Linked DNA regions of Coturnix japonica. The protein of the gene in region 6 binds, or shares a complex with, the protein of the main gene of each other region. Links are inferred from orthologs where the notes say so. Each region holds a gene or a part of one and is shown on either strand. Other genes may lie near its edges.

Region 1 (4,187 bases), on a different chromosome or scaffold from region 6:
GTTAGGCCAGAACGAGCAACTTCCAAAACAGTTCTGTGACAATTTGAGGCACACGTCCTTGCCCCGGTGAAACGCAAAGACAAGGAGTCTGTTATTCCTGTGAAGCACAATTAAGAGAAAACGAGGCTGTTCACTCACCAAGCAAACTGAAAGTTTTAGAACTAGCACTCAATGATTCCTTTGGCTAAACTTGTACACTGGCCCTTAAACTAATATATGGGATTCCTATTGCTAAGGCAGTCAGCCTACAGCACCTTCTCAGCCTGAACCCTGAAGGGGCGAGTGGCTTATTCGGATTTTGCTCTTCATTAATACTAGTGTAGCACCAGGAGCAGAAAAGCATTGCCGAGGTGATTGCCTGTCTCATGCTTCCCCTTTCACGATGCTTATCCTCCTTGCCTTCTCCCAAGCTATGAAATTACTTTCCAACCTTCTATTTTGTAACCCTTTATTCCCTTCCTCATTAGACCTCAAAGTTTTGCTGCTTTCTCCCATCCCCAGAAAACAGTCGTGTTCTTTTGGCTGAACCCAGAGCTGTAGCTCTCAAGTCTTTTTGAACACTGTGTACTTCCACGCTGCCATTCTGGTTGTAATTCGATTCAGTTACAGACTGGTCAGGCACAAGAGCCTTTCTGAGCCAGAGTGCAGGCTCATCTCTCTCCTAGATACACGCAGACCTCCAGCCAACCTTCCAAGAAGGACTAAGACACTGCAAACTAAACTTCACCTCTGCCAAGGTCATTTCCCTCGGCAAAAGTCACTTTCTCAAGGGCAGCAGGAGCTGCAGCCATGAAAAGCTACTGGCGTTTTTAGTCAGTGAGCAGAGGGGCTGTGTCCGTCAGCACAAAGCAGGAAAGGAGCTGCAGCTTTACATCAGCTTGTAGTTTTTCAGTCTTTGCACTGGATGGGATCCTGAGGCAGGAGGACACTGTCCCATTCCTACACCCTCACCTCAGACATCAAAACATCCTTCAACACAACGACGAAAAGGAAAATAAGAGCAGTGAGACCAACAGACACTGCCCAGGGCTCGGGCCTCTCAGCAGCGCTGGTTCAGGCTGAGCAGCACCTGCCTTTTTACTGCCCGTTACAGAGCGACCGCGGCGGGACAGCGGGACACGGCGGGACAGCGGGACACGGCGGGACAGACAGGTGGACACGACACAGCTCCGCTCCGCTCCTGCCGCGTCCCCCCCGCCCCGCTCTGCCATTACAGCGGCCCGTCCTCTCCTCCCCTCCCCTCCTCGCGTCCTCCCCCGTCCCGCCCCGCCGGGGCCTTCAATGCCGGCGCTGTTTCCGGGGCGACCGGCCGCGCCTGCCCCGAAGTGTCGGAGCCCCGTCGGTCCCGAGGGCCCGAAGCGGAGCAGCCCGCAGGGAGCCTCGCTGGCTGCCGGCTGCGGGTAACGCTGCGGAGCTCCGCGGGGCGTTGGGCAGCGGGGCGGGCAGCCGCCAGGGGCCTCAGCGCGGGCGGGAGCGCGGCGTGGCCATGGAGGAGCCCGAGACGGAGCCGCCGCTGACGGTCAGGGCCGGACCGCCCGTCCCCGTCCCTTCCTTTCCCTTCCCTTTCCTTACCTTCGCCCCCCGCTCTCCTCTCCCTTCCCGCAGGTGGTGCCGGGCGCCGACCCGGCCCGAGCTCAGCTGTGCTTCGAGTGGGGCCCCGCCGAGATGCTGCTGTGCGAGACGCTGTTCGGCCGGGGCGGCAGCGCGGGGCCGGGGCCGGCGGGATGCGGCGCTGCGGGCGGCGGGGACGGAGCGGCGGGTCCGTCGCGCGTGTTCGTGGTGCGCAGGGATCAGGACATCTACATGGAGACGCTGCGGAAGCTTTTCAACGAGTCCCACGGCATCTTCGTGGGGCTGCAGCGCTGCGAGGAGGAGCGGGCTGCCAGGGCGAGGAACGCGCAGTGAGTGGGGCCGGAACAGCCTCCTTTTGGGTGCTGAACAGTGCGTGGGACCCTGCACAGCACGGGCAGCACCCACCAGGCTGACCCTGGTTCTGGAAGCATCCACGGATGCACAGAAAAGGGACCGTAACCGAAGCAGTATCTCTCTGTAAACGATCCTTTTTGTGTTTGGCAGATTAGTCCAAGTGAGTAAAAACTACCGCTCGGTCATAAGAGCCTGCATGGAGGACATGCACCAGGCTGCCAGTAAGTCTGTTGCACTGCAGTAAAAAGATGCTACTTGTGATGATAAAAATAAGATTTCTCTTGGAAGTTGCTATAGCTACTGAAAAACAGCCCATATAAACTTCAGTAATTAACAGGATTCCATCTTCCATCATTGAGATTTCCATGTTGGTTCATCATCTCGTAACTGATTTTGGGAAGACTTGCAGTATTTTCATGTCATGACTTGTGGTTTTGTGGAAAAATGAGTCAAATTCACCAGCTTGCTCCTCTGAAACAGTGAGAGGACTCACTGTGTCTTAACATCCTTGTCCTGTAAATATACCAGATTTATAAAGAGTTCTGCAGGGTGAGCTGAGCTGTATCAGCTGTGCACACATCTGGGGCTGTACCCAGCGAGCGATCAAGGACTGTATGAATGAGCTCAGAAAGTTTTGTTGTACCTGTAAATATGCTGCTTTTTATGCTGCTTTTTGACTTGGTGTATTTTTCGCTCAGTTTCAGCCCGGGACTCTGCCCTGCACAACCAGTACAGCATTCAGGTAACGTACAGTCACATCCACGTAGTTGCATGAATATTGGTTAGTAAAGCCACAAAGACCAACACCGTGGCTGTAGTTTGTTGTTTGAACAGCACTGATGTTGCTTAGTTTGCCTTTAGTTCCTTCTGTGCTCTCTAACTCTCAGGAGATTAAAAAGGCTTCAATTAACACTTTCTGCACTGTTCTGCATTTCCCTGAGGAGCGATTACTGTTGCATTTCAATACACAAACCACCGATATTTTCTAAAATGGATGTGTATAGAGAAGTTATGGCCTGTTTCTGTCTTTTGATTATCTCTGGAATATCAATGTGACATTTCTCTTGTCTACAAAAACCCATCTCTGTGGGCAGCACATTCAGCTGTGCACTTAAAATTAAATAACAGGAACAATTATGACCCTGAAACGCAGCTCTGCTTTTTGTCAGGTTTCTATTCTCTCTGCCATGGAGCTGATCTGGAATCTGTGTGAGATTCTGTTTGTTGAAGCAGCGCCAGGTGAGCAGTGAACAGTTCTGATGTTAAGCCTGAAAGTGGTCTTGTTTGCGTAATAATCGTTTAAAATGTAGACAGCGTGCGTGGTGCTACATCTTAATGCTTACTGTGGAGTGTATGACAAGCAGCACCGAATTCTGATACCTTTTCTGCCTCAGTAAATTGCATTTTTTTGTATTAAATTATATCAGGATGCATTCTACTTTACACTGGCTTATTTATTTATTTCTCACAGAAGCATAATAAACAAAAACTTGTTCCCAGTTTATTTGACCTTAAAGCATAAGAACCTTCTTAAATTAACTGCCTGGGGACAAACAGTTTGGGAACTAACAGTGATACCTTCTCTGTGTAAAGCTGGTCCTCTCCTGCTTCGTCTCCTTGACTGGGTTCAGCTTCACATCTGTGATGTAGACAACATGGTCCGTGAAGTTCTGAGCAGCGAAAATCCATCAAAACACAAACTCTTCTGGAACGTGGTGAGTACAGCCCCCTGTCAGACGTTTAGATGAAGTCGTGCCTGTGTGTCTCGCATTCCTCTTCTCAGCACTGTAGCACATCTCAGAAACTGATACCTGAGATGCTGCTTCTGTCTTTGTAGTTTTAAGATAAAGCATTGTCAAGGTCATAGAATCACTCAGGTTGGAAAAGACCCGAAGGGTCATCAAGTCCAACTACAGCCTAACCATGCTACCCTACCTACCCAACAGCCCTCCGCTAAATCATGTCCCCGAGCACCACATCCAAATGGCTTTTAAACACATCCAGGGACAGTGACTCAACCACCATCCAATTTCATGATTCACAGAGGTTGTATATTCAAATTAGCAGGGCCTAGAGTTGAAATCTTGTAACTCTACTTGGCTTTCTTGAAGATTCTCCTGATATTCCACCTGGGTGCGTGGTAGCCCTGCACAGCTTGGTACTCACAGACGTGCTTTCTGCAGGTGGATATCTTCGTACTGCAAGGCCGAATGGATGAAGCACGGCACTTGCTCTCCAAGGAAGCCACTGCAAATCCCGCA
Region 2 (3,500 bases), on a different chromosome or scaffold from region 6:
GGCTGACAACTGTAATCTCTCCCCCTATGGATGTTATTGCTTCTTGTGTCAATTGTTTGACTGTACTGGCTGCACGGATGCCAGCCAAGGTGAGGACCTTCTTGGTTTTCTAAGTTTGAAAACTGGTACATAGGCATGTGAGTGCGAGATAATATCTCTTCTTATTCTCATGCAGGTTTGGACTGACCTTCACCATACGGGCTTCTTACCATTTGTTGCCAATCCAGTGTCCAGTATGAATCACATGGTTAGGTATTGGTGTGTTGTTGTTTTTTTCTGCCTGATTTGTTCATAATTTGCCATAAGACCTTTCTGCCTGTTTGAAATCTAAGATTTATGGAATCTGTGCATCTCTGGCATTTCTCACTCATGTCGAAGTTGTATTATTTGTACAATGAATCCCCTTGCTTGTTTCACAGTGCAGAGGGAATGAATGCTGGGGGCTATGGAAACCTGCTGATGAGCATAGAGCAGCCTCAAGGCGAGTACAGAGTTACCATCTCCTTCCTGAATCTCATCACGACTCTGGTCCGGGTGAGTGCTTCTGGAGTGGTCGTTATGTGAAGTCAGCTGAGAAAGAGAAATACAGCAGTGTGTCTCTGAGTAATCAGTCATTGGTCAGTGTTCCTTATGTGCTGCTGCTTTGTGCTTTCTCTGCTTCTTTCAAAGCTCTGCTCTGATCTGATCTACAAGACAATAGAAATTTTTTTTATATCTATGTCACCATCTTCAGTGGTTTTCTCACATTTAAAGACCCATAGCTGGTCTTCCTATGAAAGATTTGATGTCCATTAAACGTGAAAGGAAAAAATAACATTTCTGTTTCTTCCAGGGACAACTTGGTAGCACCCAGAGCCAAGGGCTTGTGCCCTGCATCGTGTTTGTCCTGAAGGAGATGTTACCGAATTACCACAAATGGCGTTACAACTCTCATGGAGTGAGAGAGAAAATTGGTAAGGAAATGGAGGGGGTTGGCAGGTGAGGTTGAAAAGGATCACCAGCCTTGGGGAGAATACGTAAATTTTTCCCATTTTTTAATCAGCTCTTTGTTCTGGCAGACATTTAGGATTTGCTTTGTACATCATCTGCTGGTATTGGTAGATGCTGAGATTTGGTTGAAAATATTAGGGACTAGGTAACAGGTTGTCTTGAAAACTGAGCGGTCCTTTTCATCTGTGTTTCAGGATGCCTCATTCTACAATTGATTCATGCAATACTGAATTTATGCCCTGAAATGGATCCTCGCAGTAGGTAAGGTGGATGATGGATGTCAGGTCTGGGGTTGCCTGGCTTATAGTGCAGCAGGACTCTGTTGCTGTCTTTTTGTTTCACTTTTTGAATGTAAGTTACCTGGAGTTAACTGGCCTGCTTGTGTAGTGCTGGTTTCAGTGGTTTTCTGCATTACTGAGAATAGGAAGGGTAGAAAAAGAGACAAAGAAAAGCATGGTGGTTTTTAGAATATCTGATACAGAAAGGGAAAAAAGCATATGTGTTCCATGGCGCAGACTGCCACCCACTTTCCTATTTGATATATCCACTCTGAAGGAAGTAGAAGGGAGAATGAAGTGGAAGTTAGTGGACATGTAGAAATGCTAACATTACTTTGTGGTTATTTAGTAAGTGCTGGGGGCGGAAAGTATAGTGAGTGATCTTAATGATGATGTTCTGTGGTGTGTGTGTCCCACAGCAATGCCCCCAGCCTTCAGTCCTTGTGCATCTTCAGCCTGGCCAACACTGAAGCAGGGCAAGCTGTCATTAACATCATGGGGATTGGTGTGCACACTATTGACATGGTAATGGCCTCCCAGTCTAGTAGGTGAGTTGTTCTTCATCTCTGTGTAAGAAGGAAAACAACAGGGCAGTATTTGAAATGTAGCTTTGACATGATTGCACTTACCTGGGGATCTGTGGCAGCCTGCCTTGTATATTCTAGAGGAGCAAGCCTTCTTTGTTACGGATCCATATTTAATTTTTGTTGTACTCTATGCTTCATGCTGTTCCTTTAGTTTTCTACTTTGCTTAGCCAAACTTGCCAGGAGGTTGTTTTTGAGAAAGCCTGCCTTTTGTTTCTTTTGGAACATCTGGAAGGGAATCCAAACTTATTAGAGAGAAAGCAAATAGCAATGTGAAAATGCTTTTTGGCTTTAATATCTCTCCAGAATATTTGTCTCGTAAGGAAAGCCTTAGAAAAATGCTGGATTTAGAGCCAGCTTAGTCTCATCCTCTATCGTGGATGTGTTATAGTTTCTTTAAGATTGGCTCATGCAAATGTTTCTCCCTCTGTCTTAATGCATTTAAAACCTTTCTCATAAAGAGGGGGAGAGAAGTGACAATAGGCTGTCAGACTATTTTCCTTTTTTGTTTGATGCTGAGAATTCAGGGCTGAGTAGACAATCCACATTGTGGCTGTGTGGGGGTTTGTATTTCAGCAGCTGTTAGGTGGTGATGTGACAGTCAGAGTGAAAATGTGTTATAACCTCTGACTGACAGAGTGCAGAATTTCATCTTTGAATGTTGTGCAGATAATAAACCTCAGTTGTCAACACAGTTACTTTGCTTTCTTTTTCAAAACACAGTGATGAGTCACAAGGCCAAGGCCAGCTGCTGATACAAACTGTGAAGCTGGCATTCTCAGTCACCAATAATGTCATACGATTGAAACCCCCCTCTAGTGTGGTATCTCCACTGGAACAGGCACTTACTCAGCATGGTATGTATTCCTCCATGGGGACAGCCTGGGAAGTTGTGGTTTTTTGTTACTTAGAAATAGTCAGTGTGTGTCTCATTACAGACAATATGTCAGTTATTGAAATGTCCAAAATGTGCTTTCTAGTGATAGGTGAAGGCTAATTCTCCCTCCTTTAAGGCATTCTAGTGGGTGGTAACCCTGTTTGTGGTGGAGGGGTTGGAACTGGGTGGTCTTTAAGATCCCATCATGCTTCATTTTTTTGGAAGACTCACCTAATTCTCACCTCCTGCTATGGAAGTCATTATTTGTGAAATAGCTGCTCTTAATCGTTGATTCTGATTGTGGTCCTTTCAGGTGCTCATGGAAACAATCTTATTGCTGTCTTGGCCAAATATATCTACCACAAGCATGATCCTGCGCTTCCACGCCTGGCCATCCAGCTGCTCAAGCGACTGGCTACGGTAGGATGAGGCTCCCACGAGAGCTTTGCTTCTTCCTTTCTGACTGATTCCACCACTGAATTCTTTCAAAACAGTTTCTTCAGGCTTGTTTGTATCAGGGAGGTTAATGCAAGTCGGCTGAAGGGAGTGTGGACTGAAAGCTATTTGTATTAGAGAAGAGGCGTTCTGTAGCATTTGGTTATCCTGGCTTCTGATGTTTCTTTCCTTTTACAGGTTGCTCCCATGTCTGTTTATGCCTGTCTTGGTAGTGATGCTGCTGCCATCCGCGACGCCTTCCTCACCCGCCTGCAGAGCAAGATCGAGGACATGCGCATTAAGGTCATGATACTGGAATTCCTCACAGTGGCAGT
Region 3 (3,500 bases), on a different chromosome or scaffold from region 6:
GTGAAACTTCAAGGTAGCTACAAGTTTATTGTGTCTCTGTGGAGTTTACACCAGGGACAAACTGCTTGTGGAACAAGCTTACTCTTATTACTGCTTCTATTGAATCTTAATGCTAGTTTTATTTATTACTGTGATGTTCTTTGAGATGATGTAGTGACGAATGAAGAGTTTTTAGGCCTTCTTAAATGCCCCATATGTGTTAAGTCTTTAAATCATCAATTTTTGACTGCAGAAATCTTGACTTCACTTGCTTATGGATTCCTCAAAGATGATTGTTCTGTCAGCAAATCGAACCTGGAGATTTTTTCTTATTTTAGCACTCTAGATTTAGTTTCATTCGCATGTTAATGTTTGAGCTTCAAAGAGCAAGCTCTTCTGATTACTTTTCAGATGACGTTAGTTGTCTTCTGTGGTAACATGTTTGGTAAAACAGTGATTAAAGAAGTCATCAGTAGGTACATCTGAACTATTTTATCTGTTTACCTTTAAATTGAATCAAGACAATATGTTTTTCTGTATGTGAATTTTAATTCGTTTTACCTTTTGGTTGGTTTATAGTTTGTGGCAGCCCATTTGTTTCATTAAGACATGTGGCTCTGGAGCCTATTGACTGTTGATCAGCACTGATAAAGTGCTTCATAGTAGCACTCTTCCTGTGATTCAGAGCCTCTTGACATTCTGTAAATAGCATTTTGAGAGTATTTAGTGCTCTGACCTGAGTCCAGTATAGTTCAGCAGGAGGAAGCTTGGGGCTAGACAGTGGCTTTCATAGGAGGTTGATGGAAAAAGGACTTAGAATTATGTCTTGTCTCAGTGCACTTGCTGGTAGATTACAGCACTCGTCAGACTCTTTTCTATTTCCCACAGGGAGCTGAAATATTTTTTTCTGGAGCTGATTTATATTTGCTCAGTGGTCTGAACGTTTAGGAGTGCTGTAGCATTATGTTCTGGCTGGATAGAGGGCAAAAATGGCAGAGAGAAATCAGGCAGGTGAAACACTATAGGTAGGAACTGGGGCATAAAGAGAAGAACAACACATCTATGTCTGCAGTTTTTGGATGTGCAGAAGAAACTTGCAGCAGTGTTGTCTGATTATCTGTTCTTTCTGGTTTGGACTGAGGATATTTTAACAGCCACGAAAAATAATCAGCTGTTGTCATATCCCTGGGTCTCGGTCTGGCGTTAATTGCTGCTGAGAAAGCCATTGCTGTCATGAAAAAAGATGTAGGAAACTATCCTGTTTGTATAGTGTACGCATAGTCTCTTTTCTCTTTTGGCCATTTTGCTCCCTTCTGTTAGATAGGCTTCCCCTAAAATACACCCAAGAAAGTCTGGTTTTGCCTTGTTCTCTGCTTGAATATTCTTGCATTTTCTCTTTAAAGATGTTTAAAGATGTCAGTGGTTCTAAGCTGCACCAGGGGAGATTCAGGCTGGGCATTAGGAAATATTACTTCTCATGGGTGGTCAGGCATTGGAATGGACTGCCCAGGGAAGTGGTGGAGTCACTGACCCTGGGGGTGTTCAAGAAACATTTGGATGTTGTGTTGAGAGATATGATTTAGCTGGGAAGTGTTGGTGATGGTTGGACTAGATGATCTTCTAGGTCTTTTCCAGCCTTGATAATTCTGTGTGATTCTGTATTGCTTCATTCAATCAGTATTTTGATCAGTTCACTAGGAAGATAGAAAGACTGAAATAAACGGTTCTGGTTCAAACTTTATCTATTTAGTTTAATTCTTCACAGCTGCTTCACAACTTAGTCAACAAAATACTAAGTTAATAAAATGTTTAACATAACAGACTATATCCTTTGATGGAGTTATGTATGCTTTAAGGTGAAAAAATGGTACAGAGGAATGTAAAATGCAGGGTCTGATTACATTGGCGTATACACTTGTTATTTCGTGGGGAAAAAAAAGGAGAATGTTCTTTTTCCAGATTAAAATTTTAATCTTTTGAGAACAGTTCATTAAAATCATAGTTGTGTCTTAATTAAATACAGTTATTTCATTATTCACTCTTTTGAGTTGCTCTGTTTGTACCATTCATATTGAATGACAGTACCTTGGAGCTAGCCTTGTAGTAATCTGAGTTTGCTGTTTGTTTTCTTTATATTGTTTTGCTTTTAGTTGGATGACAGTAACTGGACGGCAATGCTCTCACCTCAGCAGACAGGAATGTTTGCAAATCTAGACATGACGGAAGATGTCACCACAAGTGCTGTACTGTTACGTGAGGATGATCCTGGGGAAGCTGGTGAGATGCTCTGAGGCTTTCATCACAATTGAACACATACGTGTTTTTGTTTTCCTGTATCTTCTCACTTAGATATTCCTATGCCAGAAGCAGAATAGTTTAAAGAGTTCAGAAAGTTAGCTTTTCTAGTTATTGAACTTGCTGACACAAATGGGATGCTGTGGTGAAGTAATACACAAATTGAATTCTCTGTGGAGACATAGAAGCAGGTTTGTCTTTAAAACTTGGATGACAGATTTACAGCAGATGTTTAATAATTATTTTATTTATCTCAAAGCTTCTATATATCTTTTTATATTAGCTGATGAATTCTTCTGACTTTATGAGGTATAAACAGTTCATATCATCACTGTCCTTGCTAACATTTATTAGTGATGAGATACCTTGGCATCAGAAGGATTCTTCTTTTAGTGTTGGTATTTTTAACCACAACATGTCTTAAATGGCTTTCTTCTTCTTCTGTTTATTCTAGCTACTATGAGCATGTACTCAGATTTTCTGCATTCCTTCCTGAAACATACATCAACGACCATTTTCGATCTCGTGGATGAGTATGAAAATATATGTAATAATCAGGTAAATAGTTTGCTTTGATGGGTCTTTTATTATTTGTTTTAATTTACCATCAACATACACACAGACACAGAATTGTCGGGGTTGGAAGGGACCTCTAGAGATCATTGAGTCCAACCCCCCTGCCAAAGCAGGTTCCCTACACCACGTCACACAGGTAGGCGTCCAGTCGGGTCTTGAATATCTCCAGAGAAGGAGACTCCACCACAACCCTGGGCAGCCTGTTCCAGTGCTCCGTCACCCTCACTGTAAAGAAGTACTTCCACACATCCGTGCGGAACTTCCCATGCTGTACTTTCATCCCATTACCCCTAGTCCTGTCCCCACGCATGTTACTGTGGTGGTCTAGGAGCTTTCTACTGCATTCCTAGCAAACTGGCAGTAGAGTTCTCAACGTCAGCTTTAAGAAGTCTGTTTATTTAAATAACAGACTATTGACTGATGGTCCGTTATCAGCAGGGATTATAAAAATAAAAATGATGAGCACTATTGACTGTGTATGTGCTTCCTTACCTCAGGTGAACATACTGGGGAAGATAGTTTACAGAGCAACTCCTGGACAGCAGAAGTTTTCAAAGACCGCCAGTGTCTTGTGGCTTCTCAAGCAGGAGATGGTAACGTGGAGACTGTTGTCCTCACTTTATAGGTAATTTCTTTGAAAAGCCCATTGC
Region 4 (3,500 bases), on a different chromosome or scaffold from region 6:
ATTCTATCCAGATCATAATATTTAAAATCAACAAATTCAAGTGCCTGGTTCTGTGAGAGCTGATGGTTTTTTTTATTTTATTTTTTTTCTGAAATGCATTTTTCAAATAGAAAAGGCATGTTTATACTTTCAGTTTGTATAGAAAAGCCTATTGAAAGCATGATATAGTCTAAATTGCCATGTAACTTTTCAACTGTGCCTGATATATGCTGAAGAATAACTCAGCTTTGAAAAGAGAGTAGAGAAAGAAAGGCCAGATAGCTGCCAAACAAGTACGCATGCATACTGTGAACTGAAATAGTTTAAAAATGAAAGAACAGATGAAATCTGGAATATATATTCTTTCTGTTACCTCAGTCAGCCTGTCATTCTGTTTACCCTTCAGAATTTTTTAGTCTAACTTCAGAATCTTTACAGTGACAGACTGGATATTGGACAGAGATCCACAAGAAGAAATACTCAAGGCATTCAAATTGTTTGATGATGACGACTCTGGTAAAATAAGCCTGAGAAACCTGCGTCGTGTTGCTAGAGAGCTGGGTGAAAATATGTCTGAGGAAGAACTGCGGGCTATGATTGAAGAATTTGATAAGGACGGAGATGGCGAAAGTAAGTCTTAAGCATAGACGATGTGGGATTCTTATCTCTTAATTTTCTCCCTATTTTAACATAGCTTTATCTTGAAAATGCCTGAAATTGACAATTTTCTCTTTGTTTTCTTTCTAAATATCTCTCAGCTCAAACTTAGCTTATGTAAAATGAAAATAGTTTTTGATAGTTACTAGTCCTGAAGAAGCATGGTGGAGTCTAAAAGTCAAATAGATTTCTCACCTTCACTGAGGCTTAATCAACCAGCCCATACCTATTCAAAGTTTGGTTAAAGTTCCTCTGGTTAAATAATTAAGTGGTTCATGGAAGTGTCTGTGTACTACAATAAAATTTGGTATCTGTATGAATTAAAATGGCAATGAGTAAAAGGATTAAAAGGCCAGAAGAAACTCTTTTGATCACCTGGTCCAATATTTCTTAAGCAGTAGCGTGTCACTATTGTGATTTCAGCTTGTTGGTCAGATACAAAGAACTATGCTACTAAGTTGTGATGAACTTAACCCTGCGTCCAAGCAGGATCACCTAGAATAAGACTCTAACATGTCTCTGTACTTAGGAGAGCTGAGGAGTGTGATGTGGAAAATTCCTCTGAGGAAACAATGTCCATACAGTGTGAGCTACAGAAGAGCTTTATTAGCTAGATAAAGAATTAAGTAACAGGCACTGTTTAGGGTTGTTGTTTGTTGTTCAGCTCCCTTCTTTATTTCCTCCATGAACTTAAATCTTTGTATTTAAACTAGAAGCATTAATACCTGGATTTCAGGAGCCACTCACTTAAGACAATCTGCATATACTCTGCATTTCTGAGTCATAGAAACCATTGTGAGTTTTTCTTTCAGGATGATGACTCTCATCTGAGATCTCAGAAGTAGTTCAACTTTTTTAGTTGCAAAACATTTCTATTTGTCAGCAACATCTACTGGAGTCTAAACTCTGATAGAGAAAAAAACAAAATTCACAGCACCTGCCTTTTTGTCTGTCTTGTGACAGATACTTCAGTCTGTGCTGCTTGTGGTAGGTGTTATTTCACACTTGATCATACAATTGCAAGCTTGTTAATTGTTGGCCTGTACTGTTTTTGCATCTACTCAAATATTGAAAAAAAAAATACAAACCTTTCTCCTCCCTCCCCTGTCCCACCTCCAAGAAATGGGGGGAAATGAATGAAGAACAGGACTTCTAAGCTTAGTCAGCACAGTTTAAATGCCAATGTTGTTTAATTTTAGTGATGCAAATAGGGAGCATAAAGGCAAAAATACTAAAAGCTCTGTGCTTTTGTTGATACTAGACTGTTAATCTTGACACTGTTTTTACAAAAGTCTGTATAATGTTAAGAAGACTCTTACTTTTGTTTAGAAGATGCCACCTCCTGATCTCACTTCATTTCCGGAGGCTATGTTACCTTAGTAGAACCTGCATAATTCTGATGTTCTTTTATGTGCCAGATGTGTCCTTCCACACATTTATTGCATTGGTATCCACCTCAGTAGCTATACAACAGAGTATAACAAATATTCTAAGTGGACAGCTTTATTTTAAGTTTATTTTGCTTTTAAAAGTAGTGGTGGCACTGCCAATGTTACCTTTTACTTATTTCTATTAAAGACTCATTTTATTTGAAAGTGGGGCTGCAGAGGGGATAGCAAGTAGAATAGATCAACCACAAGCATGTTTTGTTCTCTGTTACCCTTCTAGAGCTGCCAACTCAACTGTCAGAATGATAATCAGGGATGATTTTGGTCATATCACTGTTTGGTCAGTAGAAATCAATGTAAACTTTTAGCTCCTTCTAGGAAGATTTTAGTTTTTGGGGGGATCAGTACTAAGTTTCTGAGATTGTTCAGTTCATTTTCCTTATTCATCCATTAATTTTCTTTTTTAGAGAAGTCTGGAATAAGATTGAATGTGGAAGATTGGTAGCATGATGTATTTGCATAGTTCTGTTCCTTATGGTTCTGTTTTCTGTTCTCTAAAGAAAACTAGTACTGTTTCTAGCTTTTAAGATTCAGTCTCGGAAAGTAAATAATCTTCTGAGTCAGTGTTCCATGTAGTTTCAAACATCTGGGTCATGTAACAAAGTCTTGCTCTCATTTATTTCTCCTTTGTTTCCTGCCAAGGGGGAAAAAATCTCTAAGTATCACTTGGTAGCGTTCTATATTTTTCAGTAGTTCGTCTGTAACTGGGCAGCACATTAAGGACTCCAACTTACTCATCTAACATTCTGTGAATGGAGTAGAGAAAAAAAAAAACACCAGTACCCTCAGTACATTGTGGAAATGTTTCCTATTTCTATTTTAATTGTTTATCCTGTTTTTTTTCATGAGTCAAACCACATGGAACCTCAAGCCTGGTTTTAATTTTAGTCATGTGTCATAAAATGAATAAGAAGTATTACTATTTAAGGGAAGTGATGCTTTTGTTTGTAAAATATTAGTACCTTCAGCAGACACTTGAATCATACCTTAATCGTGATGTTTTAGGACAAAGCTCAATTTCTGTGGTTACTTACTTGTCTTGCCAGATATGTTTGTGGATCCATTTTTTTTTTTCTTAGAACAACACTGATTAAATTTCATCTCTGAATTTATGTTTAATGTGGCTTGCAGAAAAGCTGCTTTGGACTCCAAATATATCCTGCAGATAACTGCTGTTGGAAATGTTCATATACACAGAGTCTACTGCTCTTTTCTTCAAGTAAACAGTGAAAAAAGTAATTGTTGTAAGGTAATCTGTATCTGTTGTCAGTTTATGGGCTGGTTCAGCCTGGTTCCATGAGTGATGGGGTGGAGGGATCTGCAGATCCACATCTCTGGATAAGTGAAACAGGGGACACCAAAATAATTTAAAACAGTGGCAACAATCTGAGGAGAAACAAACTAATTTACTAAATA
Region 5 (3,500 bases), on a different chromosome or scaffold from region 6:
TTCTCTGTTAACCTATACATTTATTGGCTTAAGGAATCTGTCCGAGCAGCCTCATTAAGCCCAGATTGTGCTGCCTTGGAGTTTTTAGAGAGGTTTTTGGTGAAGTTTTTTGATAACTCTGTGTTTTAACTGAGTGTAGTCAGTTCCTTTTTGACCACATGTTTTTTAACTTTACAGTTTGCAACAAGTTTGGACTGAAAAGAAACTATATTGGTGCTGGAGCACACTTCCATGTTGAGTTTTTCCTTCCCCAACAAGAGCCAGTATTAAAGAAATGTGGCCCTTCATTGCACCAACTAATGAAAGAAATGCTAATATTTAATATTATTATTTATAGCAGAATTTCTTTTCATTCTAGATTTGCTCTTTTTCATGTGTTAAATAGAGTTTAATCTTTATAGAAGATGCTTTAGGAATATCTGGAATAGTTTGGGGCCTTTAGCTGTGCTGAGAATACTTGAACTGAAGCAGATGTAGCTCAAGATGGTGCTGATGAGAGTAAGATCAGGACTGGTAAACTTGGTTACTGAGCTTATGTATATGGTTTCTGGCAGGTGATGAGAAGACCCTTCCTCCAGCACCAGTACTCATCTTGCTCTCTACGGATGGTGTGCTCTGCCCATTTTACATGATCAATCAAAATCCAGGGGTCAGATCGCTTCTTGTGACCCCAGAGCCATTGCCAGCAGCAGGGGAGAGAGCACCAAAATCACCAGGTGAGTGCTGCAGTGGGTTAAGGAAAGACTTGCATTTGTGGATCTTTGTCATCTTCATCTGTGAGCTTGTTATTCAGATAGACATGCAGTCACAGAAAAGGTTGGTTGTTTTTACTTGTAATAGTAATGGGAGCGGATCATGGGTATTTTGTGCTCACCAGTCAGTTCTCCATCTCTTGTACATCTAGATGAAATAATATAGTCCTGTTCATCCTAGGGGATCTCAGGCAGTTTTCAGACAGTGTGTTTAAACCCCTCTGTGTGATGGTTTCCCTCTCTGTTCTTATCGTGGCCTCCCGTGGCAAAACTAACATATTTGACTGCAGAAAGAGCTTATTTAAGTTATAGCTTTCTTCATCACTGTGAAAACAGTGTCAGGAGGTGAAAAGCAGTAGTTTTATCTGACTGTATGTTGGGTACCATATACAATGTAAAGTAGATACTTTCTTATTCTAGGTTAGACAGGTCAGTTGGTTGTTCTGCTTCTCTGCATGCATGCAGTAATAATTGCAAGCCCACCATTTTCTTCCCTGAGCTTGCATTTGCTTCTCCAAACAGAATGCATCTGTTTGGCAGCCTGCCTCTCTGCAGTGCTGGCTGACTTGTGTGCTGACAGCCTTTTTTTATGTGAGATGGCAGAAACCTCATCAAAAGCATTGGAGAAACGTGAAACCTTTTCACTGGGAATTCCAGGCAATGTTAATGTATTTGGATGTGAGTAAACTGCAGTATTGATCACATCTTGGACTTTGTGCACTCATTTGCCAGATGTGAGGACTGGAAGCCCTCTTCCCTCCTCACTTTCCTTCACTGTACAGTCTGCCTAGTGAATGAGGTTGTACTTAGCTGTCCCATCAAATGGTATTTGGCCTCGCAGTACCTTCTTCCATTAGTCAGTGCAACCAAATGAGTCTTTACCTATTTGTGTTTCTGCAGGAAGTACTGTCACAGCTCCGACCACTCCGCCAACCTCCTTAAAGCCTGATGCAGTACCAGCTGTTGCTTCTGCCCCAATTCAGCCTCCTGCAGGAGATGGAGCAGCTGCTTTTTCCTTTACACCTTCAACTGCAAAGGTGCCTGGCTCTACAGGCGGTGAACTTCCACCTTACCCCTTTGCCACTGATACCTCCAAGCAAATCCTGGCTCCAAGTCTTACAGGAGTGGCAACATTCTCTTTCTCCTCTGCTTCTCCTAAGGCATCCACAACACCTGCTATTTCTATGGGCACCACCGCAGCCACAGCCACCTCCTTCTCCTTTGGATCCATGAATTTGAAACCGTCTGCAGAAAGTTCTCCTGGACTGCCACAATCCACAGCTCCTGCTGCACAGAAGTCTTCTTTTTCCCCTTCGGCTTCTTCAGTTAAAGTGAATCTCAATGAGAAGTAAGTATAAAGATGCTATAGTGCAGTGGCTGGATAGCTGTTAAATCAGTCCAGGTGTGGACAATGTGTGGTAGTTCTGAACATCACACAGTGTTCTTTGGCCTCTTGCCCTGACAACTGTTCTCCATACTCCCAAAAAAGCTCTGAGGAAGCTCCTCCTTATCTAAAACTCATTTGTCTTGGCTGTGAAAACCCTCAGCGTTTCTCATGCTAGAAATGGTGTTTGTGGGCAGATTATTAGTTGGGGGAGATGCTGGAGTCCTACTTTTCTCATGTCTTTACTACATAGGCTTGATATGAAATAATTCCTTGTTTTGGTTTGAGATAAGTCATAATTAAAGACTCTTGGGAAACCGTGGGACTTGAAAACTCTTGTAGCTGTTTTAGTGTAGTGGTGCTGGCACTAATTTATTTTGCTGTGAAGGTTCCTTATCTCCAACCTTGAGAGTAATTTGCAATGCTGGAGGAAGCTGTATCCGTAGGTGATAGACTTCTTTTCCACTATGTTGGATGGAGGGGATGCCATCTAACATGGTTCTTAACTGGATGCTTGCTCAGTGGATGTAGGGCCTGAAATCTTCAAAGCTTGTTCATGCTGAACCATTTATGGAAGCTGAAGGAGAGCTGATACTGCGTATAAAATTGGCAAAATAGATTTGAGTGATGCATATTCTCAGATTTCATGTACTTGTTCTGCCCTCCAACTCCTGAGACTTGCTCCCATTTTCAGAAAGAGTGGTTTGGAACAGATCTATGTTAATTGGAGTTGCTTTCCACAGAGAGCAATTTTTGTGTCAATGTTTTTTAAGAGATTTCTGATCATTCAAATGATTATTTTTTAATTAGAATAATCTTTGCTACACCAAGATCTGATGGTAGCTCTTAAGGCTTTTTAAATTTCATATTTTGTGTATAAAGCAAATGATACGCTTGTGAATTGGCTGAATATTCAACTTTGCTGCCCTGAGGGCCCAAGTTTGAAGATGAATGGAAGTTCATATTTTCTTGCAGAGTTTCTCTTTGAGCTTTGTTTTAAGGCTGGTACTGAAGGGTGGCTCAGATTTGCTACAGTTGGTGCTTTTGTGCAAAATGAAGAGGTATGTTTTGAAACAGGGAAGGACTTCTTGCTGGCATTTGGTTTTTCATCATAGACCAGCTCTGATGAACTATGGTAGCAGAATTTATCATTCCAGATAGTCCAGAATATCCCTGATGGTTCCTCTCCACCATTTCCAAAGACTACACTTGAAATGTTGGGTCTGGAGCTTAAGTCATTGCTGATACCAGAGTCTGCTAATTTGTTAGAGCTTAATGGTTTCTTTTAGATGGAGTGAAGCAGCTTGGGCCACTTCAGAGCTGAAAATTGTTTTGCTTTCGTCTGCAGGTTCACCGCTGTAGAC
Region 6 (3,964 bases):
TGCAGTTTAGCTCCCCCAGCTCATCTGTGCTCTCCCAGCCAGCACATAAAGCTTCCCCTCCCTCCAGTAGCAGACACACATTCCAGCACAGCCCAGCCGTGAAAGTGCCTGTGCTGGCTGATTAGCTCTGGAGCAAGTACAATGCAGCAAGCAGAGGCTTTTAGCAGTTTCTTGTTGACAAAGAGTCACATTACATTACCACTCAAGCAGCAGAACACCCGTTTTGGGTGCTGCCTCATCCCTTGGGGTACTCCCACTTGCCTGCCAGAGTTAGTTTGGAAAGCACCCAATGTCACCTGTTAAACTACACCTGCCCCGAACGCAAGCCTCACCTTGTAGGACCACATCCGAAGCTTGTGGTCCTGGCAGAGAGCAAAGAGAAAGGCATCGTGGTCCAGGCAGTGAACTGCAAGGCTGATGGGCACGTCTGATGGGCCACCGTCACCTCTGAAAGCACAGGTGTGTTAAAAGGAAGCCAAGGTTGGCACACAGGTCCAAGGCAGTAGATTTCTATCGTGATGTTTTACCCATTAAGATGAAGGACTGAGGTGGGAAAAGAAAGGCACCTGGCCCCAAGCAACGCACCCCTTGTGATCCAACTCAGGGTGCCGCAGGCTCACTCACATTTCCCAGGAAGGCTTTAACAGGGTTTGATCATGTGCTTAAGCTGCCATAAGACTACAGTCCCCAAACGAGCTGTTATCTACACGTAACCTCTGCTGGTCAGAAAGAAGCCTGACATTTTGGAACAAGGACAAGAACATACAACTGTTGTAATCCTTAATCTACCCTGGCTGCGAGCCACATCCTGGGTAAATCCTCAGAGGCCAATTACTGGATGTAACACACTCACAGACACCAACGCACAGAATCAGCAGGACCCCACTAAGATGAACTAATCCAGCCCTCAAGTCTCACTGTGACGGGGCCTGTGACCCAGTTAACATTGCAGAACACATCTGCAGGTGCTGATTTGCCCACGCTGGACTTCAACTAGAAACACCACCTCCTCCTATGCGAGGGAATCATAAAGCAAAGCGAGCTCCCTGTGTTTGTCCCCAAACACCAACCTGATTGCTGTTGGCATCCAACCGGTGAGAAAGCGCTGCACCACCGAGCTCTGCTTCAACTCCACAACCGAAACAACTCCTTGCAAAATAAAAGCAACACAGGGAAAACACAGTGAGGACTTAGTTAACAAAACACATGTTGCCAGAAAGGAGGCTGATGCAAAAGAGATGCTGTGTGTGCAGCAAGGCCGTAAGACACAAGTGACAAAAGCAAAACCCATCGAGGTCCAAAGCTGGAAGAGGGGATACAGTGCTCCACAGAAGCAGGTGTGAGGATGCAGCCTTACCAGGTATGTCATGAGGAGGCAGCTTAATAACAAAGATGCCTCCTGCTGCAGAGGGTAGAGCAAAAAGGGCCTCCCCATCACTGCTCAGCCAGGCTGCTGAGGCCAGTGAGTTGGCTGCCAAGCCTGGCACACTGGGAATCAGGTAGTAGCTGGATGGATCTCTGAAGTTGATTTTGCCAATGTCTGTAAAGACGGACTGCACTTGACTCTCTGCTATCAGATCCTGGAGGAGGTAAAGGGAGGAGAACAAGTCTCAAGCACATACACAAGCCATGGAGGAAATAACTCACCACCTACAGAGCAACACTGCTAAGTGACAGTCACTTTTTCAACCCACGATTGCTGCTTCCCAAAACATACAGGCTTTAAAATCTCATTTTCCAGCAGCATTTTCTCCCTTCTCACACTCAGTAATGCCTCCACAGGAGCCACTGACCACAGGGCCAGGCTTTAAATCCCTCATAAACTCCTCTATGCCACTCACCCCGCGATAGGCACGGGCTGGATGAGGCAGCAGGATGCGGTGCACGCTCTGCACAGTGACCAGCAGCAGCACCAGGTGGTTCTGCACCTCACACAGGTGTACACCGCCCGGCAGCAGCGGGCAGCCCTGGATGCGTAACCGCACAGCATTGTTCAGCAGCTCCGTGTCCAGAGATTCCTCCACCAGCTCAAGGATGTCCCCAGATGTTGTCCTGAGAGAAACAAGGAAGTGTGGGACAACAGGGGACACAAGGAGGGGCTGGGAGCAGGTAAAACCATCCCTGCCTGCCCCACCCCCACCCCCATAGCCTTCTCTATCCCTTCCTGCCCCAAATTCATTCCTTCTATAGCAAAACCCCTTCCTTCTGTCCCTGCCTTCTCCAACTCACATCCCTATCATCCCCCAAACCCATCCTCAACCCCCACAACCCCCACCTTCCATCCCTACCTGCCTCCAAACCCACCCCCACCACCCCACAGACCCTTGATCCACCCCCAGCCCCAAACCCATCCCCCCTCATTCCCTCCATCACTCCATTCCCACCCCAAAACCCAACACCCTCCCACTCCAGACAGCCCCTCCATGCCCCAAGCAGCCTCTCTATCACAGCCTCTCTATCTCTATGCCCCAAAGAGCCCCTCCATGACTCAACCCCCCCCCCAGGCCTTCATCCCGCCCCGTCCCCTCACAGCCCCGCCCGCCCTTACTCACCACCTCACGCAGCGGTTCCGCGTGGCCGCCCCCAACTGAGCGCACTCTCGGTAACAGAACCCCCCAGCGCTGTCCCCGTAACGCCCGGTGGGGACGGGGGCGGTACCCGGCGGGCTGAAGGACACCTCCCGGATCCGTCGGGGCGGGGCACGAGGAGCCGGGCCCAGCTCCATGTAGCTGCGCTCCGCCAGCCCCGCCGCCATCTTGTCAGCGCCTTCCCGCCCGCGCGGGGCAGCACGGGAAATGGCGGGCGGGGAGGAGGCGGGGCCACCTGCCGGGTGGGCGGGGCTAAGGGCGGGGTGGGCGGGGCTATGGGCGAGGCCACGCCCACTTGCGCCCAGGCCACGCCCCCTCCGGGCTCGCCCGCTGCTTCCTGCGGGCACGGCCGGGACGGGGCGGCGGCGGAGTGCTGAGAGTGAGTGAGAGCGGGGGGGGAGGGATCTATGGGGCTGGATGTGGGGCTGGGGTGTGTAGAGCTGTGGGGGGTTGGATATGGGGCTCACGGGGCCGTGTGACCGCTGGGGTCCCACAGCGGACCCACAGCTGAGGGTCTCCGTGGGGGCGGGGGGGGGGAGCCGGGGTTTGCTATGGGGCCTGTGGGGCGTGGGGTTCCCTGTGCTGTGGGTCCCTGTGGGGCTGGGGGTCGCTGGGGTCTGTGGGTCCTGGGGTTCCCAGCACTGTGGGTGCCTGTGGATCTGGGGACCGAGGGCTACAATGGGGCTACGGTTCCGTGGGGTGGGAGCCAGGGATCCCTATGGGGCATGGGGTCTGTGGGTCCCAATGGGGCTTAGGTCTGCGGGTTCCCAGTGCCGTGGGTCCCCGTGGGGCTGGGGACTGCGTGTCCGAGCGGGACAGCAGGCCATGGACCCTGGGGGTCACGATGGGGCAGGAAGCTGTGTGTGCCCATGGCGGGAGCGGGTTGTAGGATCCAGGAGGGGAGAGCGAGCGTTCGGGACCCCAAGCCCATGGCGTCACCCCAGCGCTGCTCCTCGGCCGCGGGGCCGCCGGAATCTTGGGAAAAAAAAGCAGGGAAATGGTGAAACTCCTGCCCTTATATGGCTCCGGCCGCCCTCCGACGGCCTTGGCTATTCGTTTCCCACGCGGGAATTCCCCGCTGCCTCAGTTTCCCCATCCGCTGGTCGCTGGAGGGGCCGGGCGTGGTGGGGGTGGGGGGCATCGGGCCGGTCTGGGGGCTGAGGTCGGGGTTAAATCCCTCGACGGAGGCTTTGGCAGCACCGGGAAGGGGAGGGGGGGGGGGGGCACCGTCGGCCCCGCGCCGTAATCCCGGAGCTGAGCGGATTATGGTGGCCGTGGGGCGAGCGGAGCTGCGGCTCGACGGACGCCCCAAGGCCGTGCCCTCCCGGGGGGCACCGATCCGAGGGCGGCGGTGGAACGCGGCCATGCGGCACGGG
Region 7 (4,109 bases), on a different chromosome or scaffold from region 6:
TCTCCTTTCTCCCCCTCAGGCTGCTGCTCCTGCTGCCCCGCTGGCTGCAACAACTGTGCCAAGGGCTGTGTCTGCAAGGAACCAGCCAGCAGCAAGTGCAGCTGCTGCCACTGAGCAGCCCGCCTCGCCTGTAAATAGCTGCCATGCTTTGGGGACAGGGTGGGGGGTGATGGGGGCCACAAACACAAAACAAAGCTTATTTTTACATGTTTTGTACCTTCTGTGCTGATGGAGGAAATAAATGAGTTTGGCTGAGCCCTGATGCTGCTTGTGACACGTGTGTGGGAGCACTGGTGCTGGGGGCTGCGCCAACCCCCTGTGGGCTGTGGTTTGAGGGGACAGAGTGGTGTCGTGCAGTTGGGGTGCTCTGTTTCACAGCCCCTGGTGAGTGGGGGGCTCAGGGTGCCACATGGGGCAGGTGTGAGCACAGCCCGGCCGGCTCCTGCCCTGGGGGGGCAGACAAGGAGGGGGGTGGGGGCGTGGGAAGGCGCCTGGCTGCTCTTTTCCTTCCGAATACACCTGCCAAGCGAAAGTTGGCCCTACCTGTGCTGCAGGGCACAGCCTGCCCACACATGTCTGTGTGCTGTGTGCTCTGCTCCTGGCCATGCTGCCTCGTCCCATGCTCTGCGGGTGGGGACAGCTCGTGCCCTCCAATGGGGCTGGGAGCCGTGTGGGGTGGGTGGCCCTGAGTCCCCGGGCCCCTCGCTGGGGTGGTGCTGGAGATGGGAAAGGGGCTGCCCCGCTCAGTGTGTATTTGCCTTGTAAATCAGGGCCTGGGCTCCTTCCCAGCCGTGCCCCGGGTTGGAGCAGCCCCCAGGACGAGCTCTGGGGGCCGTGCCTTCAAACATGAGCGCTGTGGGAAGGTGTGAGGGCAATGTCTGCTGAGGGGAGCTGGGCTGAGGGGGGTGTGCGGCCCGGGGTCCCTGCAGGGTGGGTTTTTTAATTGAAATCAAGTTTTTCTTTATGTGAGTGAGTGAGCCTCACATCCTACATGGCACAATGGACACAAGTGGGGAATGGGGAACAGATGGCTGTGGGGGTTCAGGGCAGCGAACAGCCGTACTGATGGCAGTCTGCAGGCGTTCCGCTTTTCGTTTATAGTGTTTTCATCTCTGACCCCCGGCCCCGCGCGGCCGTCGGGCCGTTCCTCATTGGAAGAGGCGGCGGGCAGCCTCGAACCCGCGTCTCCCGGCTCACCGCCCCCATAACCACGCACAGCCCGCGCCGCCTCCCAGCGCCTCAATCACTTCTTGTCGCGAGACGAGCTGGAGGGGCGGGACTCAGCTCGACAACCAATGGAAATGCGTAGCGTCAGGAAGCGCGCCGGCTCGACCAATGGGCTGGCGGGGAAGGGGGAGAGCGTGGCCAATGGTGGCGCGCGGCGCGGGCGTGCAGGCGCGGCGGCCGGAGCGGCGGGCAGGTGAGTGAGGGGCGGTGGGCGCGGCGGGGATCGCGGTGCGGGCGGCCTCCGTCCTCCGTCCTCACATCGTTCTGCTCCCCGGCTCCTGAGCTCGGCGCTCCCTGCCCTGGGCGGGCGCTGAGGCGCGGGGCCTCCTGTGAGCGGGTGCCCTCGGGCCGAGGCAATGTCTGCCAGCTGTGCGGGCCGCTGCCGGGGGTCCGGGCCGGGCTGTGTGAGGGCTGGAGGCGGGGGGAGATGCACGGGGTGATGGCGGGTGGGGCCGACATGAGGGGACCGAAAGGATGGACTGACTGGGAATGGCTACATCAGCTCGTGTGGTTCCTGCTTGTTCCTGCGGTGCTGATAGCAAAGGAAAGATTGTGGGGAGAGGATCCGAGCTACAACATAAGGAGCGTGAGGGGAGTGAGCAGGGCAGGCGGCACGGCAGTGCAGTAAGACCTCAGAAACAGCTGGTTTTATTCAGTTTGTGCTGTAAAAGCTCTATGAGACCAGAGCTTGGGAGCCGCGATCAAAGGGTTGGTAACTTACACACCTGCCTGCAGCTGAAGAACAAAGCATACAGGACTGGGAAATATAGGGATGGCAGCTGATTTAATTTGTGGGTGGTGGAATGAACACTGAGTTGAGGAGTTCGTTGCTGTGTGCTCTGTTCAGGACTTTCCTACATCCAGGGCACTGTACCAGCTGGAGCACCACATGCAGCTTGGAGCCCTTACGTGTTTGGTTTTAGTGTGGCTTGTGCTTTTAGCTTAAACCAGGAGGTGGTGTGGCTCCCTTTGCTAGGTTTGATTAAAAGTCGTGTAGCAGAGGGCAATTTGTGGACAACATGTAATAGATGTGTGGTTTGCAATCGGTCCTTTTCCCTTATAGAAGTTGAAAATGAGTCAGGGACAGACCTTGGGAGCGGGAGCAGGTGACCTGTGTGTGCTGCTGGTGGGGCTCAGTTGTCTGTACCATTCCTGCCCTACGTGTGCTCTGTTTAACAAGCTCATTGACAGTTCCTGCATTCTTAGAAAGGAGCTTAATATCAGTGTCTAATATCACGGAAGTGGCATTTTTCATTCATTCAAGATATACATGTATGTATTTTGCCGCCTGCTCTTTGCTTTCATACTCAGTCACTTACTCTCTTCCTTCCAAAGGGAGCGGATGCTGACTTGTCACATGGGTCTCTGGAGCACTCTGAGAGGGTAACGCTGGATTTCTTCCTCTTTGTTTTGTCTTGGGAAGAATCTTTTTGCCCCTGGTTGGATTGTACTCTTTATCAGCTCTTCTGATTGCAGTGGGTGAGGCTTCCCTCTGAATTTTTAGTCAGTCTCTTTAAATAAATTAATTATAATTAGGTGGCACAAAGACTGTCAGTGTATGAAGTACAGCAGACACTTGCTTACACATGGGAGCTCTTCAGCTTGAAGTCTTTATGAAGCTCATATGGTGAAATGTTCAGCATGGCCGTATTTGGAGTAGGACAGCACTCTTCATCTGCTAGCACTGCAGGGCCTGGCTTTCCACGACCAGCCGGCATTTATGGTCAGTCTGAACAGAATTAGAAACCTGTCATCATTTCTGATTTCATTTTGGCTGAAATCCAGCCAGCTTGTAGAGTTTGTAACATCTACATGCGGTTTTAAATGTTGGGAAAACATTAAATGGGGCTTTTATTGGACAAGCAATAGCAGACTAATGCAGCAGCTTCTATTGATAAGTCATCAAAGTCGTTTTACAGAAGGGCTTTTTCAGCCCTGGCTTCTAGCCCTGGGTCGATCCAGTTTCACCGAAGTTAGTTTAATTTCTGGTGTATTTTCTCTCCCTTAGGTGTAAGTTGTTGCACATTCTGCAGCCAGACACAACAGTCTGCTGTCATTTGCTCGTCCCTGTGGCAGCAGTTTTCCATCTTGCACAGCGGCATTTGGAGTCAGACTGCAGCCTCCTGAATGCAGTAAATTCTGACAGCATGGAGACTAAGTAGTTCATGCTGTTACCCGGTCTGGATGTTTGAAGTCTGTCCCTTGGAACACGCTGCTGTTTGAGCTCTAGAGAAAGGTTTGAGCTCTCATTCCCAGTGTTTGGTTATAATCAAAGGTAGTTGGAGTTGCTTCAAATTAACAAGTTTATTCTATATTTGCTGAATTCAGTCTCTGTTTTCCAGAGTCATTACGGTTGTCCTACCTTGGCAGATTTGTGGGACAGCCTGTATATGGAATTGACTTGGGATCCGTGCTTGACAATTGCAGTCTGTGGAGCTATTTGTAGTCCCCTGACTCTCTGTGCTTTTGGTTTTAGAGCTCTGAGAAGTCAGTGCCTTCTCACACTCTTGGCTTTTCATCTTGTTCTTAATGAGAAGAGGAAGCAGACTGATTTGAATCAAATCAAGCTGAAGTCTGTGCTGCTCCTGCACTCACTGCTTCCTGCTTTCTAACGGTACAGGAGCGTGGCTGTTGTGGTCAGCCTCTGCCAGTGCAGGCAGCTTCTGCTGGGGCACACTGAGGTATCACAAGTAAACACTGGAAAGATGCTCTGTACTGCATTGCAGAGCATGGAACTGCTGCTTTCCACCACGCCCCTCTCTCCTCCCAGCCATCTCAGTGGCATGCTAGTCTGTTCAAACAAATCCAGACCCTGCTGTCTCTCCTGAACAATAGGTCAGTGCACATGGGGTTGCTACGTCCCCTAGCAGCTCCTGGTTTTC

What was found.
Region 1: NUP160 (region 6) and NUP85 share a complex: the UniProt entries of both Homo sapiens proteins name them as parts of the nuclear pore complex. The link is inferred for Coturnix japonica from reciprocal best matches to the Homo sapiens genes NUP160 and NUP85.
Region 2: NUP160 (region 6) and NUP188 share a complex: the UniProt entries of both Homo sapiens proteins name them as parts of the nuclear pore complex. The link is inferred for Coturnix japonica from reciprocal best matches to the Homo sapiens genes NUP160 and NUP188.
Region 3: NUP160 (region 6) and NUP107 share a complex: the UniProt entries of both Homo sapiens proteins name them as parts of the nuclear pore complex. The link is inferred for Coturnix japonica from reciprocal best matches to the Homo sapiens genes NUP160 and NUP107.
Region 4: NUP160 (region 6) and CETN3 share a complex: the UniProt entries of both Homo sapiens proteins name them as parts of the nuclear pore complex. The link is inferred for Coturnix japonica from reciprocal best matches to the Homo sapiens genes NUP160 and CETN3.
Region 5: NUP160 (region 6) and NUP214 share a complex: the UniProt entries of both Homo sapiens proteins name them as parts of the nuclear pore complex. The link is inferred for Coturnix japonica from reciprocal best matches to the Homo sapiens genes NUP160 and NUP214.
Region 7: NUP160 (region 6) and NUP93 share a complex: the UniProt entries of both Homo sapiens proteins name them as parts of the nuclear pore complex. The link is inferred for Coturnix japonica from reciprocal best matches to the Homo sapiens genes NUP160 and NUP93.

The regions. Positions count from the first base shown.
Region 1 is NC_029533.1:9,354,767-9,358,953, forward strand, and holds the start of NUP85 (nuclear pore complex protein Nup85), read left to right. Parts: upstream 1-1,387; 5' UTR 1,388-1,486; coding exon 1,487-1,519; intron 1,520-1,605; coding exon 1,606-1,901; intron 1,902-2,076; coding exon 2,077-2,147; intron 2,148-2,624; coding exon 2,625-2,668; intron 2,669-3,095; coding exon 3,096-3,165; intron 3,166-3,359; exon of another isoform or gene 3,360-3,519; coding exon 3,520-3,641; exon of another isoform or gene 3,642-4,109; coding exon 4,110-4,187. UniProt on the Homo sapiens protein: Essential component of the nuclear pore complex (NPC) that seems to be required for NPC assembly and maintenance. As part of the NPC Nup107-160 subcomplex plays a role in RNA export and in tethering NUP96/Nup98 and NUP153 to the nucleus.
Region 2 is NC_029532.1:4,043,956-4,047,455, forward strand, and holds part of NUP188 (nucleoporin NUP188 homolog), read left to right. Parts: intron 1-1; coding exon 2-89; intron 90-175; coding exon 176-258; intron 259-419; coding exon 420-534; intron 535-832; coding exon 833-953; intron 954-1,184; coding exon 1,185-1,251; intron 1,252-1,687; coding exon 1,688-1,816; intron 1,817-2,576; coding exon 2,577-2,710; intron 2,711-3,043; coding exon 3,044-3,150; intron 3,151-3,363; coding exon 3,364-3,500. UniProt on the Homo sapiens protein: Component of the nuclear pore complex (NPC), a complex required for the trafficking across the nuclear envelope. Required for proper protein transport into the nucleus.
Region 3 is NC_029516.1:31,992,256-31,995,755, forward strand, and holds part of NUP107 (nuclear pore complex protein Nup107), read left to right. Parts: intron 1-2,129; coding exon 2,130-2,256; intron 2,257-2,728; coding exon 2,729-2,832; intron 2,833-3,347; coding exon 3,348-3,475; intron 3,476-3,500. UniProt on the Homo sapiens protein: Plays a role in the nuclear pore complex (NPC) assembly and/or maintenance. Required for the assembly of peripheral proteins into the NPC. May anchor NUP62 to the NPC. Involved in nephrogenesis.
Region 4 is NC_029547.1:53,325,919-53,329,418, forward strand, and holds part of CETN3 (centrin-3), read left to right. Parts: intron 1-417; coding exon 418-609; intron 610-3,500. UniProt on the Homo sapiens protein: Plays a fundamental role in microtubule-organizing center structure and function. As a component of the TREX-2 complex, involved in the export of mRNAs to the cytoplasm through the nuclear pores.
Region 5 is NC_029532.1:4,684,161-4,687,660, forward strand, and holds part of NUP214 (nuclear pore complex protein Nup214), read left to right. Parts: intron 1-554; coding exon 555-716; intron 717-1,652; coding exon 1,653-2,100; intron 2,101-3,484; coding exon 3,485-3,500. UniProt on the Homo sapiens protein: Part of the nuclear pore complex. Has a critical role in nucleocytoplasmic transport.
Region 6 is NC_029520.1:524,166-528,129, reverse strand, and holds the start of NUP160 (nuclear pore complex protein Nup160), read right to left. Parts: upstream 2,801-3,964; 5' UTR 2,756-2,800; coding exon 2,553-2,755; intron 2,053-2,552; coding exon 1,842-2,052; intron 1,581-1,841; coding exon 1,358-1,580; intron 1,150-1,357; coding exon 1,071-1,149; intron 448-1,070; coding exon 333-447; intron 1-332. UniProt on the Homo sapiens protein: Functions as a component of the nuclear pore complex (NPC). Involved in poly(A)+ RNA transport.
Region 7 is NC_029526.1:558,931-563,039, forward strand, and holds the start of NUP93 (nuclear pore complex protein Nup93), read left to right. Parts: upstream 1-1,309; 5' UTR 1,310-1,420; intron 1,421-1,700; exon of another isoform or gene 1,701-2,610; intron 2,611-2,621; exon of another isoform or gene 2,622-2,706; intron 2,707-3,235; exon of another isoform or gene 3,236-3,502; intron 3,503-4,109. UniProt on the Homo sapiens protein: Plays a role in the nuclear pore complex (NPC) assembly and/or maintenance. May anchor nucleoporins, but not NUP153 and TPR, to the NPC. During renal development, regulates podocyte migration and proliferation through SMAD4 signaling.